3 linked regions of the Tribolium castaneum genome follow. The protein of the gene in region 2 interacts with the protein of the main gene of each other region in a pairwise test. Links are inferred from orthologs where the notes say so. Each region holds a gene or a part of one and is shown on either strand. Other genes may lie near its edges. The genes, in order: microtubule-associated proteins 1A/1B light chain 3C, Atg4a and gamma-aminobutyric acid receptor-associated protein.

Region 1 (3,758 bases), on a different chromosome or scaffold from region 2:
AAAAATTCTCAAGGCCACAATAATAAAAAATTGATGTTAAAAGTATGCCTACTTGACGTAAAATTGTCTGAGGGATCCAAAACTGTCTTGATTTTTGTTCTACGATTCGTAGTTTTGGAGATATTAGACGAAATATGATTAGTTTTAATTTTTACCAAAAAAAATTTTTTATTTACACATGTTTGAAGTGACTTTCCCCAACAATTAATAAAAAACCTACGTGGTAATGTCGCGTATTTTCGAGTACAAGTCCTTGACTTCTTGCACGAATTTCCCCCAATGAACTGGAGCATATGAATATTTCAAAGTTTGTTCTTTGAGATATTTTTTCTCGTATTTGATGACAGTGGGTGTATTTTCAACATCAACAGCTAAAAATAAACACACGACAAACAATAAACCCCCAAAACTCATTCCCCATACTTTCAATTTTAAGTAACTTTAATTCATGGTTAATATCAACATCGCTTTGGCTAAACTGATTGACCAGCTTAGTCAAATGATCCATGTCTGTTTTAACCACAACTTCGAACGAATCGCTCGCTTTCCAACCGATCAGTTCGCCAAAATGCTCAACCTGAAAGCCCCAACTTAAGCCTATAATATAAGTCAAGCAGTCGTAACCACCTTACTTGAATAATCTCACTCTGATGTTTAACATAATTGTCTAAAACGGCCTGAAGGAGGAGAAAAATTTGGGGCCGACTAACACTGATTTTATTGTCGTCGATAAAAATCGGGAAGTATCTTAGATTTTTCGGAAATGCGATCCATTGACTTAAGTTTAGTTTTTGCTGGAAATTATTGTGATTTTTTTTTTCAACAAATTAAACGACAGTACCTTAGGCACAACTGTGCACGCGATCCTATTCTCAGTACTGTACAATAAATTCTCCAAACTTCGCTGTTTTCTGCTATCGTGCACCGAATGCCCAGAACAGACAAGCAAGGCATTTTGATCGTTTAGTGTTCCGTTGAGTTTGTTGCGTAAAGTTCGGAGACGCCACCACTGCATTATGGTGGCGTAGGCATAATATAAAGTAAAGATCATTATGTTTTATGCCTCCATTGCACCTAAAACAAAAATATTCGGTAAGTTACAAAAACCAAAAAAATTTATTTTAACTTTAAATTCCAGAAAAACTACTCAGAGACTGGAATTTCCAATTAATTTCTTTTTTTTACGACTTTAATTGCTCCAAATGTCACACTAATAATTTAAAAAGTGGAGAAAAAACAAAGAGAATACAAATGTAAGTTTTTTCAAAAAAAAATATAAGTTAGAAAAAATTAACAGAAACTGGCCTAAAACGACTCGTAGCCCTCTTTAGTACTTAATTATCTGTTACTGAACAAAATTTGGTAAAAATCGAGCCATAAATGCGCAAATAATATAGATAAAACAACTTAGTCAAAATTTTTACTTATCTACCTAACAATAAAAAAAATTCTCAAGGCAAAATAATTAAAAATTCGTGTTAAAATTACGTTTACTTGACGTAAAATTGACTGAGGATTCCGAATCTGTGTTTATTTTTGTTCTACGACTCGTAGTTTTGGAGATAATTGACGAAATATGCTTGGTTTTAATTTCTCCAATCAACAACAAAATTTAAAAAAAATTAAAATAAACAGAAATTGCCCTAAAACGAAACGTAGCACCGTTTAGTAGTTAGTAACCTGTTTCTGAACAAAATTTTGTGACAATCGAACCACAATTGTGTAAATAATCCGATTAAAACAACTTGGTCAAAATTTTTACTTACTTACAAATCAATAAAAAAAAATCTCAAGGCCACAATAATTAATAATTAATGTAAAAAATATGCCTACTTGACGTAAAATTCTCCGAGGATTCCAAATCTGTCTTTATTTTTGTTCTACGACTCGTAGTTTTGCAGATAATAGACAATATATGGTTGATTATAATTTTTCCAACAAAAAAATTAAAAAAATTAAAATAAACCGAAATTGGTAAAAAACGATTGATAGACCTTTTAAACAGTTCATTATCTGTTTCTGGGCAAAATTTTGTGGCAATTGAGTGACAATTCCGCAAAATAAGCCGAATAAAAGAACTTGGTCAAAATTTTTACTTACCTACCTATCATTAAAAAAAATTCTCAAGACCACAATAATTAAAAATTCATGTTAAAGGTAAGTTTTCTTGACGTAAAATTGTCTGAGGATTCCAAATCTGTCATTATTTTTGTTCTACGATTAGTAATTTTGGAGATAATGAACGAATTATGGTTGATAATCATTTTTCCAAAAAAAAAAAAATTAAAAAAATTAAAATAAACCGAAATTGGTAAAAAACGATTCATAGCCCTTTTAAACAGTTCATTATCTGTTTCTGGGCAAAATTTTGTGACAATCGAGTGATAATTGCGCAAAATAAGCCAAATAAAATAACTTGGTCAAAATTTTTACTTACCTACCTATCATTAAAAAAAAATCTCAAGGCCACAATAATTAAAAATTCATGTTAAAGGTAAGTTTTCTTGACGTAAAATTGTGTGAGGATTCCAAATCTGTCATTATTTTAGTTCTACGATTAGTAGTTTTGGAGATAATGAACGAAATATGATTGGTTTTAATTTTTCCAATCAACAACAAAATTTAAAAAAAAAAAAAAATAAACAGAAATTGGCCTAAAACGAAACGTAGCACCGTTTAGTAGTTAGTAACCTGTTTCTGAACAAAATTTTGTGACAATCGAACCACAATTGTGTAAATAATCCGATTAAAACAACTTGGTCAAAATTTTTACTTACTTACAAATCAATAAAAAAAAATCTCAAGGCCACAATAATTAATAATTAATGTAAAAAATATGCCTACTTGACGTAAAATTCTCCGAGGATTCCAAATCTGTCTTTATTTTTGTTCTACGACTCGTAGTTTTGCAGATAATAGACAATATATGGTTGATTATAATTTTTCCAACAAAAAAATTAAAAAAATTAAAATAAACCGAAATTGGTAAAAAACGATTGATAGACCTTTTAAACAGTTCATTATCTGTTTCTGGGCAAAATTTTGTGGCAATTGAGTGACAATTCCGCAAAATAAGCCGAATAAAAGAACTTGGTCAAAATTTTTACTTACCTACCTATCATTAAAAAAAATTCTCAAGACCACAATAATTAAAAATTCATGTTAAAGGTAAGTTTTCTTGACGTAAAATTGTCTGAGGATTCCAAATCTGTCATTATTTTTGTTCTACGATTAGTAATTTTGGAGATAATGAACGAATTATGGTTGATAATCATTTTTCCAAAAAAAAAAAAAATTAAAAAAATTAAAATAAACCGAAATTGGTAAAAAACGATTCATAGCCCTTTTAAACAGTTCATTATCTGTTTCTGGGCAAAATTTTGTGACAATCGAGTGATAATTGCGCAAAATAAGCCAAATAAAATAACTTGGTCAAAATTTTTACTTACCTACCTATCATTAAAAAAAAATCTCAAGGCCACAATAATTAAAAATTCATGTTAAAGGTAAGTTTTCTTGACGTAAAATTGTGTGAGGATTCCAAATCTGTCATTATTTTAGTTCTACGATTAGTAGTTTTGGAGATAATGAACGAAATATGATTGGTTTTAATTTTTCCAATCAACAACAAAATTTAAAAAAAATTAAATAAACAGAAATTGGTCTAAAACGAAACGTAGCACTGTTTAATAGTTAGTTACCTGTTTCTAAACAAAATTTTGTAGCAATCGAGCCAAAATTGTGCAAATAATCTGAAT
Region 2 (3,758 bases):
GATCCGGATATTCTCACGTTCGATTTAAACGACCACAAGCCGATGTTTGTGATTTTGGCTTCCGATGGATTGTGGGACACTTTCTCGAACGAAGAAGCGATCAGTTTTATTAAAGAACGACTGAACGAACCCGATTATGGTGCGAAAAGCTTAACTTTACAGTCGTATTATCGCGGTTCTTTGGATAATATCACCGTTATCGTGATTAATTTCAGAGATAACGCCTTTAGCTTCCACAGTGCGGAGAAGAGCGCTTAGGAAGCGGGGTTTTGCTCAAGTTAGCTGAGATTTGTACCTGCGGTTTAGTCTAGGCCATTTCGTGTTGATTAAATTTTTTACCGATTCTGGCGGCCGGTGAGGCCCGCGAGTCGATTCATGTTGATTACGTGTTGTTTTAAGTTTCAAAGAACTATTACTCTAAAAATGGCTGTAAGGTTTGTTGATCTTTTTTCTCGATGTATACAATAAAAAACGATTTAAAACGATGGCTCTCTTTATTTTCCTTCAATTGCCAACGGTACATTTTTATTTACAAATAAATCCCGCACTATATTAACTGATTGTGGATTATACACGGGGAACAAAACTACGGAACCATTTATTTACAGCATTATAGAGTATACTGCTAAGGTCTGGTCGTTCCGTCAGAACTTTTTTTTAAAGTCTATTTATGATAAAGGTTATAATATAAAAATCAATTATCTAAATAAAATGTTTATGAACTACTACTAATAATAAATGTTTTGGTGGCATCGAGATTGATTTCACTTTTTATTTGTCAAGGCATAACATAATGCAGGATTATTTGTCGTGTGCGACGACTGTTCGCCCGCTTCGTTACAAAACACAGACCCACAATTATGGTGAAAAATACAAAGCTTTACACGAAACATATCGGCGTCATTTATGTACAAAATAAGTCGATATTTTTGGCACCGGCAGCGTTAAAACATTTCGAGTGGCGCCCCTCGGTAAATGCACTATGTACAGAAACAAGTATGAGTAAGAAAAATATTTACAATTTGCGGGCCTCTATCCACAATTTGCGACAATAAAAACTGAGTTAAATGAGAAAATTGTTACAAAATTTCAAATTCGTGCTCGGAATCGTACTCTCCGGATAGCTCGAAATCGGCAGCCTCCACGGCGTCGTCCAGCGTCGGCGTCCACTGTTTGGGTTTCTCATAAGTGATTTCGAATAGCGGCTGTTTTTCGGGCTCGATGAGGTCTTTCTTGATCGAGTGACACAAATCGTTGAACTCGCCTTCAGTGTTGCAGAAAAAGCACTGAAATTGTTCCCGAGTTAGAACTGTTTGTTTTGAATTGATGTATTTGTTTACCACAGCCACTGAGGGATCCATGCTGAGTATGTTTATTCTAGAAGCGTATTTACAGTGGTAGGTGGAATCCAGCTCGATTTCTTCTTCCGTTTCTTTGCTTTCCACGGAACCGGATTTCTGCGTCGTGTGCGGGTCTAGATATATTACTTCGTCTCCTACATGTCCTATGAAATACAGCGCCAGGTTCGGTTTGCCACCGATCACACCCAGGCTTTGTTTGAACTGAAAACATTTCTAAAAAAACAAGGTGTAACAGATTTCTTCCCACACTCGTTGTTACCTTTAATCCACTAGCATAAATAGGATTAATTTCTTGCAGTCCCAATCTTAAAGGCACAATAAGTAGCAACGGCTTCCAGTCCCCACTGCTACAACCGTCACTCCCCTGACTTAAGCACAACTCTCCTGAAAACCACCATCAAAACCACTCCAACCCCAACTCTCACTTACTTATATCGCTAATAATAAGTGTATTATCTAACGCTATGTGCATCTCAATTGCACTCCACTCGTCATACTTTACCAACTTCCTGCAAATAAAACATTTAACACCGTTTAATCACTAATTGGACTTTGTTATTACTTCAAGACTTGGGCCACAGTGTTGGGTCCAAACCACTGCCCCACTTCCTTGTTTTCCGACACCCCCATCATGGCAATCTGGTGTATGGAAAACGGCGCTTGTCTCTTGTCTACAAATTTGCTAAGTATTTTGAGATAAGTGGAGTCTTTGGTTTCGGGCTCCCAGACCCAGTCTCGGCCCAGATGCAGCGTGACCAAGGCTTGCGCCAGAACCATCTGGCCGCATCGTAGCATGCAGCCCCAGCCCTTGTCAGTGGTGAGACCTTCGTCGCCCCCAATTGGAACGAAATTTTTCCGATACGTGAACCAGATTTTCGAGAGAATGTCTTGGCGGATCGTGTCCAATTCTAGACAGGGTGTTAGGTCGCGACTACGCACAGAAAAGGCGTTACCTTGGAGTGCGTTGTACTTCTTGCCTAGGATGTAGACGGGGTCTGCAGTATGGGGGATGTCATCGGGCTCAATGCTCCCGTCTAGGTATAGTTCGAACATGCCGTCCATTGTCACGAAAGGGGATATTCATGGATTTAACGTTAAATTGGCAAATCGTAAGCGAGTTTTGAGGAATCACTGTTTTCCACGGTTTGTTTTCATTTTTAATGTCAGATCGCCATCTTGGTGTCAAACAACAGCTGATGTGTCAAGTGAACGAAAAATTTGGCTTTTTCTATTTTTAATCACGTTTATCACACGCAGAAACCACTCATTTCTGTTTATTATCACCAGTCTATATTGTACTTTTTTAATTAATTTTGTAATGTAAACTTGATAGGTAACATAACTGGTTGCCTAACATGTTAGATGTTTTCATTTACAGAGTGTTTCATGTCATTTTCCAAAAATATTTTGAACTCATTACTCAATTAAAACACACGTATACAGCTAAATTTTTATTGTTTAAAAAACATACAACAACAAAGCTTGTTTGGAAATAATACGCATGCTAATCAAGAAAAACCTAACATAAAGAGAATTAAAAGTTTAAGCTAAATTTTGTACTGCCGATCTCGAATAGCACTAGCATTAGGTCACATCCAAACATATCACTATTAAGACGCATTATTCTACTTGCTATTTGATTCTTTCTGATATTTTTCGTATTCTTCATCGCTCAAGAACCAAAGATCAGTCGGCATTTTAGTAAAAACGTTGTTCATGATGTCGGTGAAAATACCAGCCAAGCTATCACCAATGCTATCTTTCAGCTCTCCGATGATTTCTAGCGCATTTTGGTTGATAAACTGGTTAACAGTCTGGCCTGAAACAAAAAATAAAATAAATAAATAAATAATAAAAAATATACCGGAGTAGAAACCACTCACCTAAAACTTTATTTCCGTTGAAGAGATTATAAAGTTTCACTTTCATCCCTCCAACTTTAAAGTCCACCTGCATTTTGTCAATTTTCACAACTTCGCGACCCTCCCGGAGCGGGAAATCCACGGTGGTGGTGACCTTAGTTTGCACATTTGACAATTTCAGGTCACAGGCCCCGTGTCCCACTAAGGGCAAAACCAGGATTTTTCCCTTGAGGTTGTATTGAGATTTGATAGAGAGTAGTGGTAAAGTTAGGCCGAAATTCCACGTTTTCTTGGCTTCGTCAAATCTGAATATATTTTTTACAAAAACGGTTTTTTATTTCCCTAATTCTTACTCGGTGTAAGTCGGCGTGGAATTCGAAGGGCCAGACACGACCAAATCGTAGAGCCCTCCAGTGAGCGTGATAGCGCCCGAGCCCTTACTTACGGTGACTTTGTCCAGAAATAAGGGCTCGAAGGGGTCCACGTTCATGTCGGGAATGCCTAAATTGGAAAAAACGAATAAATTTTCCACCGG
Region 3 (2,828 bases), on a different chromosome or scaffold from region 2:
ATAATGGCGGCTGCAGATAAACTCAGACCGAATTCGCATTATATTTGTGTTTTTTTGGATTGAATTTAAATACGTTAGGATTGTATTCATCCATTGCGGCCTTATTGCATAATATGCGACGTGGCTTAACTGAGTGGCGTATCTACAAGAGCAAGAGGGGATGCAACATTTTACATCCAAACGTTCATTTGCCATGTAATAGCAAAATAATAACGACTGCAAATAAATCACTGATTCACAATCGTTCTAAAGTTAGTTCTCACCCTTTGGGACTACAAATTGCAAGAAACGTCAGCCACTGCGAGGTTAGGTTTAATTCGCGCTCGGCCACCAGGTGTCGTCAAGAAAAAAACAACATCCATAGAAGTAACAAATTGAGAACACTTATTCTAATTTTCCAAAAAATTATTTAAAAAAATAAATACTGTTTATGTTAATGTGTCCTATGTGATGCTACTAACAATAAATACAGGATGACCCAGGGGTGTGTAATCGGTCTATAACTTTTTTGATAATTAAGATATTACTATGCGTTTTTATTATCCGATAAATCGACTTAAAATCCACAATCTAAAAATATTTTTATTATGCTGAGGGTGTTGTACACCAAAGTTTTATTTTTTTCACGTATCGATAACATTTTTGATGAGCTCTCTAATTAATGTTAACTAAAAAAATACCATTTTTTTATCAAAACGACCCTGTATTTTAACGTCTTTTTAAAATGTTAGCGCGATTTTTATTATTAAAAGCCCAACTATCGTATGTTTTAAAGTTATTGGGTCGAATGGTGAACAACCAACATTACAAGACACTTTTTTTCTATTTTTCAGTAACGTTTTTATTTTTAACAAATTGATTGTCGTTTTTTCGCCAGTCACTGTGTGAGCCAAAACCATGATTTTGCCAACGTCCACTATTTCCTAACGTTGGGTTTCTTACGAGCTTTGCCCTAAAAATAAAATAAACTTAATTCAATGGACACAAAGAAAATAAGTTAGGTTACGTCATTGTCACATTTTAAATTTCCCGCGAACTCGGTTAGTCAAAACCCGGCTTTATTACCAATCAATCGCTCGATTCTCTTTGCAGTAATGTAATTTTAATTGTATTTATTGACTGTATGATACTACGATATCAGTGATTAGTCATTCCTTTGCGGCAAAACCAAATTAGTTGATTTTCGCCTCGTTATCGGTTGTTGTTTTGGATGCGCAGTAGAGGAAGTTATTGCGATCGATTGTTTTGTGTCATAACAAGCAAAAGTGACCAAAGTGAACAAACGTATCGAAACCTTGTCAACGGCCCAAATTCCTGTGTCAAAACCCTCAAAATGAAATTCCAATACAAAGAAGAGCACCCGTTTGAGAAGAGAAAGTCCGAGGGCGAGAAAATCCGCCGAAAGTACCCCGACAGGGTCCCCGTAAGTATCTGCGTCATTGCACCCAAACAAAGAAGCGCCCCGTCCAGAGCCCCAAATTGGGGCCAAAGCCCCCGTTCCTAGCCCCATTTTCCCCGATTTCACCACACGTCGTCATTTGTTTTGTTTTTACGAAAATGGCGTATCAAGGTCACGTGATGTCAATTGTTTTCGTAATCAGGTGATCGTCGAAAAAGCCCCCAGGGCCCGAATTGGTGATTTGGACAAGAAGAAATATTTGGTTCCGTCGGATTTGACCGTGGGACAGTTTTACTTTTTGATTAGGAAACGGATCCATTTAAGGCCCGAGGATGCGTTGTTTTTCTTTGTAAATAACGTCATTCCGCCCACTTCGGCCACCATGGGCTCGCTCTACCAGGTTGGTAGCACTGGTGTGTGATCTAGGGGATTTACTCACGGTTTTAGGAGCATCACGAAGAGGACTTTTTCTTGTACATTGCTTACTCTGATGAAAACGTTTACGGAAGCGAGGAGCTCTAATTTAGCAACAAATGAAATTTTTATAAATCTCTGATTACAATAAAGCACCGGTAAAAGTTTAACATTTATTTTATATTACTTATAAGGCTTTTGTTTGTCTGAGTGGCGACTTTTTCTAATTGTGATAGTTGTATTGTTTATTTTTATCTTCTGATAGGGCTGAATATTCTAACACTTTTGAGTTGAATGTTACGGAAGCGCTGCTATGAAAGGAAGACGTTTCATCACAAATTTAATAAACTGATATTTAATTTTTGATGGAATTACGAAAGTATTAGATTAGGTATGTAAAAGAGATGATGTAGTTATCTAAATAAAAATATTTAAAAACCAAGACTTTTTAGTTATTATTTGTTTGCAAAAACTTCGTGAAATTGTTATCATTGTGTTAACAATTCAAATTTTTGGTGGTGTCCTTTGTTTTGTTGGGTTTTCCCCAACTGTGTAAATTTATTCTATTTTAATGGTGAAAAGCCGATCCTTAGGCCACTAACTAGTGCACATATAACTAAAGAACTAATTTTAGTGTTAAATACGATAACGAAAGTGCAATATTTTCCCCATTTTAGGAATTAAGAACGCATTTCAATTTTATGTTGGTAGTGACAAAATCACTAGCAGCGCCATCTCCTTTCACCGCAACATCTGCAAAGGTGAGTGTCTTCGAAGTGAATTTTTACAAAAATCCACAATCATCGTCCATTTTTCGTTACTTTTTTGCCCCAAAACCTTTTCTAAAACAATCGTCGGCTCATTTAAAACCCAAATCTAGTGTTATTTCAGTGAAATTGTGCCGAAAAAACATTTTGTGAGGTTATTCGTAAAAGTGTCAATACACCGTCTTACATCCGTAAAATGCCTTTAAAGTGATGATTTTATTTGCCTTAGGACACTTCTGAAGACTGCA

What was found.
Region 1: the proteins of Atg4a (region 2) and microtubule-associated proteins 1A/1B light chain 3C interact in binary tests that used the Caenorhabditis elegans proteins (3 or more experiments, as listed by UniProt). The link is inferred for Tribolium castaneum from reciprocal best matches to the Caenorhabditis elegans genes atg-4.1 and lgg-2.
Region 3: the proteins of Atg4a (region 2) and gamma-aminobutyric acid receptor-associated protein interact in binary tests that used the Caenorhabditis elegans proteins (3 or more experiments, as listed by UniProt). The link is inferred for Tribolium castaneum from reciprocal best matches to the Caenorhabditis elegans genes atg-4.1 and lgg-1.

What each region holds. Positions count from the first base shown.
Region 1 is NC_087401.1:16,967,821-16,971,578, forward strand, and holds the start of microtubule-associated proteins 1A/1B light chain 3C, read left to right. Parts: upstream 1-1,051; 5' UTR 1,052-1,092; intron 1,093-3,758. Other genes in the region: Hcs (biotin--protein ligase), read right to left, coding at 221-371, 424-577, 633-794, 842-1,051. UniProt on the Caenorhabditis elegans protein: Ubiquitin-like modifier involved in the formation of autophagosomal vacuoles (autophagosomes). When lipidated mediates tethering between adjacent membranes and stimulates membrane fusion. Less effective at promoting membrane fusion than lgg-1.
Region 2 is NC_087398.1:5,532,462-5,536,219, reverse strand, and holds Atg4a (cysteine protease ATG4B), read right to left. Parts: upstream 2,573-3,758; 5' UTR 2,424-2,572; coding exon 2,315-2,423; intron 2,270-2,314; coding exon 1,924-2,269; intron 1,871-1,923; coding exon 1,791-1,870; intron 1,746-1,790; coding exon 1,621-1,745; intron 1,575-1,620; coding exon 1,341-1,574; intron 1,287-1,340; coding exon 1,080-1,286; 3' UTR 476-1,079; downstream 1-475. Other genes in the region: protein phosphatase 1L, read left to right, coding at 1-258; protein takeout, read right to left, coding at 2,987-3,180, 3,245-3,528, 3,577-3,724. UniProt on the Caenorhabditis elegans protein: Cysteine protease required for autophagy. Cleaves the C-terminal amino acid of ATG8 family proteins lgg-1, to reveal a C-terminal glycine.
Region 3 is NC_087401.1:11,663,476-11,666,303, reverse strand, and holds gamma-aminobutyric acid receptor-associated protein, read left to right. Parts: upstream 1-1,172; 5' UTR 1,173-1,210; coding exon 1,211-1,423; intron 1,424-1,601; coding exon 1,602-1,799; intron 1,800-1,846; coding exon 1,847-1,921; 3' UTR 1,922-2,255; downstream 2,256-2,828. Other genes in the region: uncharacterized protein LOC100141600, read right to left, coding at 1-195; RpL6 (large ribosomal subunit protein eL6), read left to right, coding at 2,515-2,574. UniProt on the Caenorhabditis elegans protein: Ubiquitin-like modifier involved in the formation of autophagosomal vacuoles (autophagosomes). When lipidated mediates tethering between adjacent membranes and stimulates membrane fusion during autophagy. Recruits lipidated-lgg-2 to maturing autophagosomes.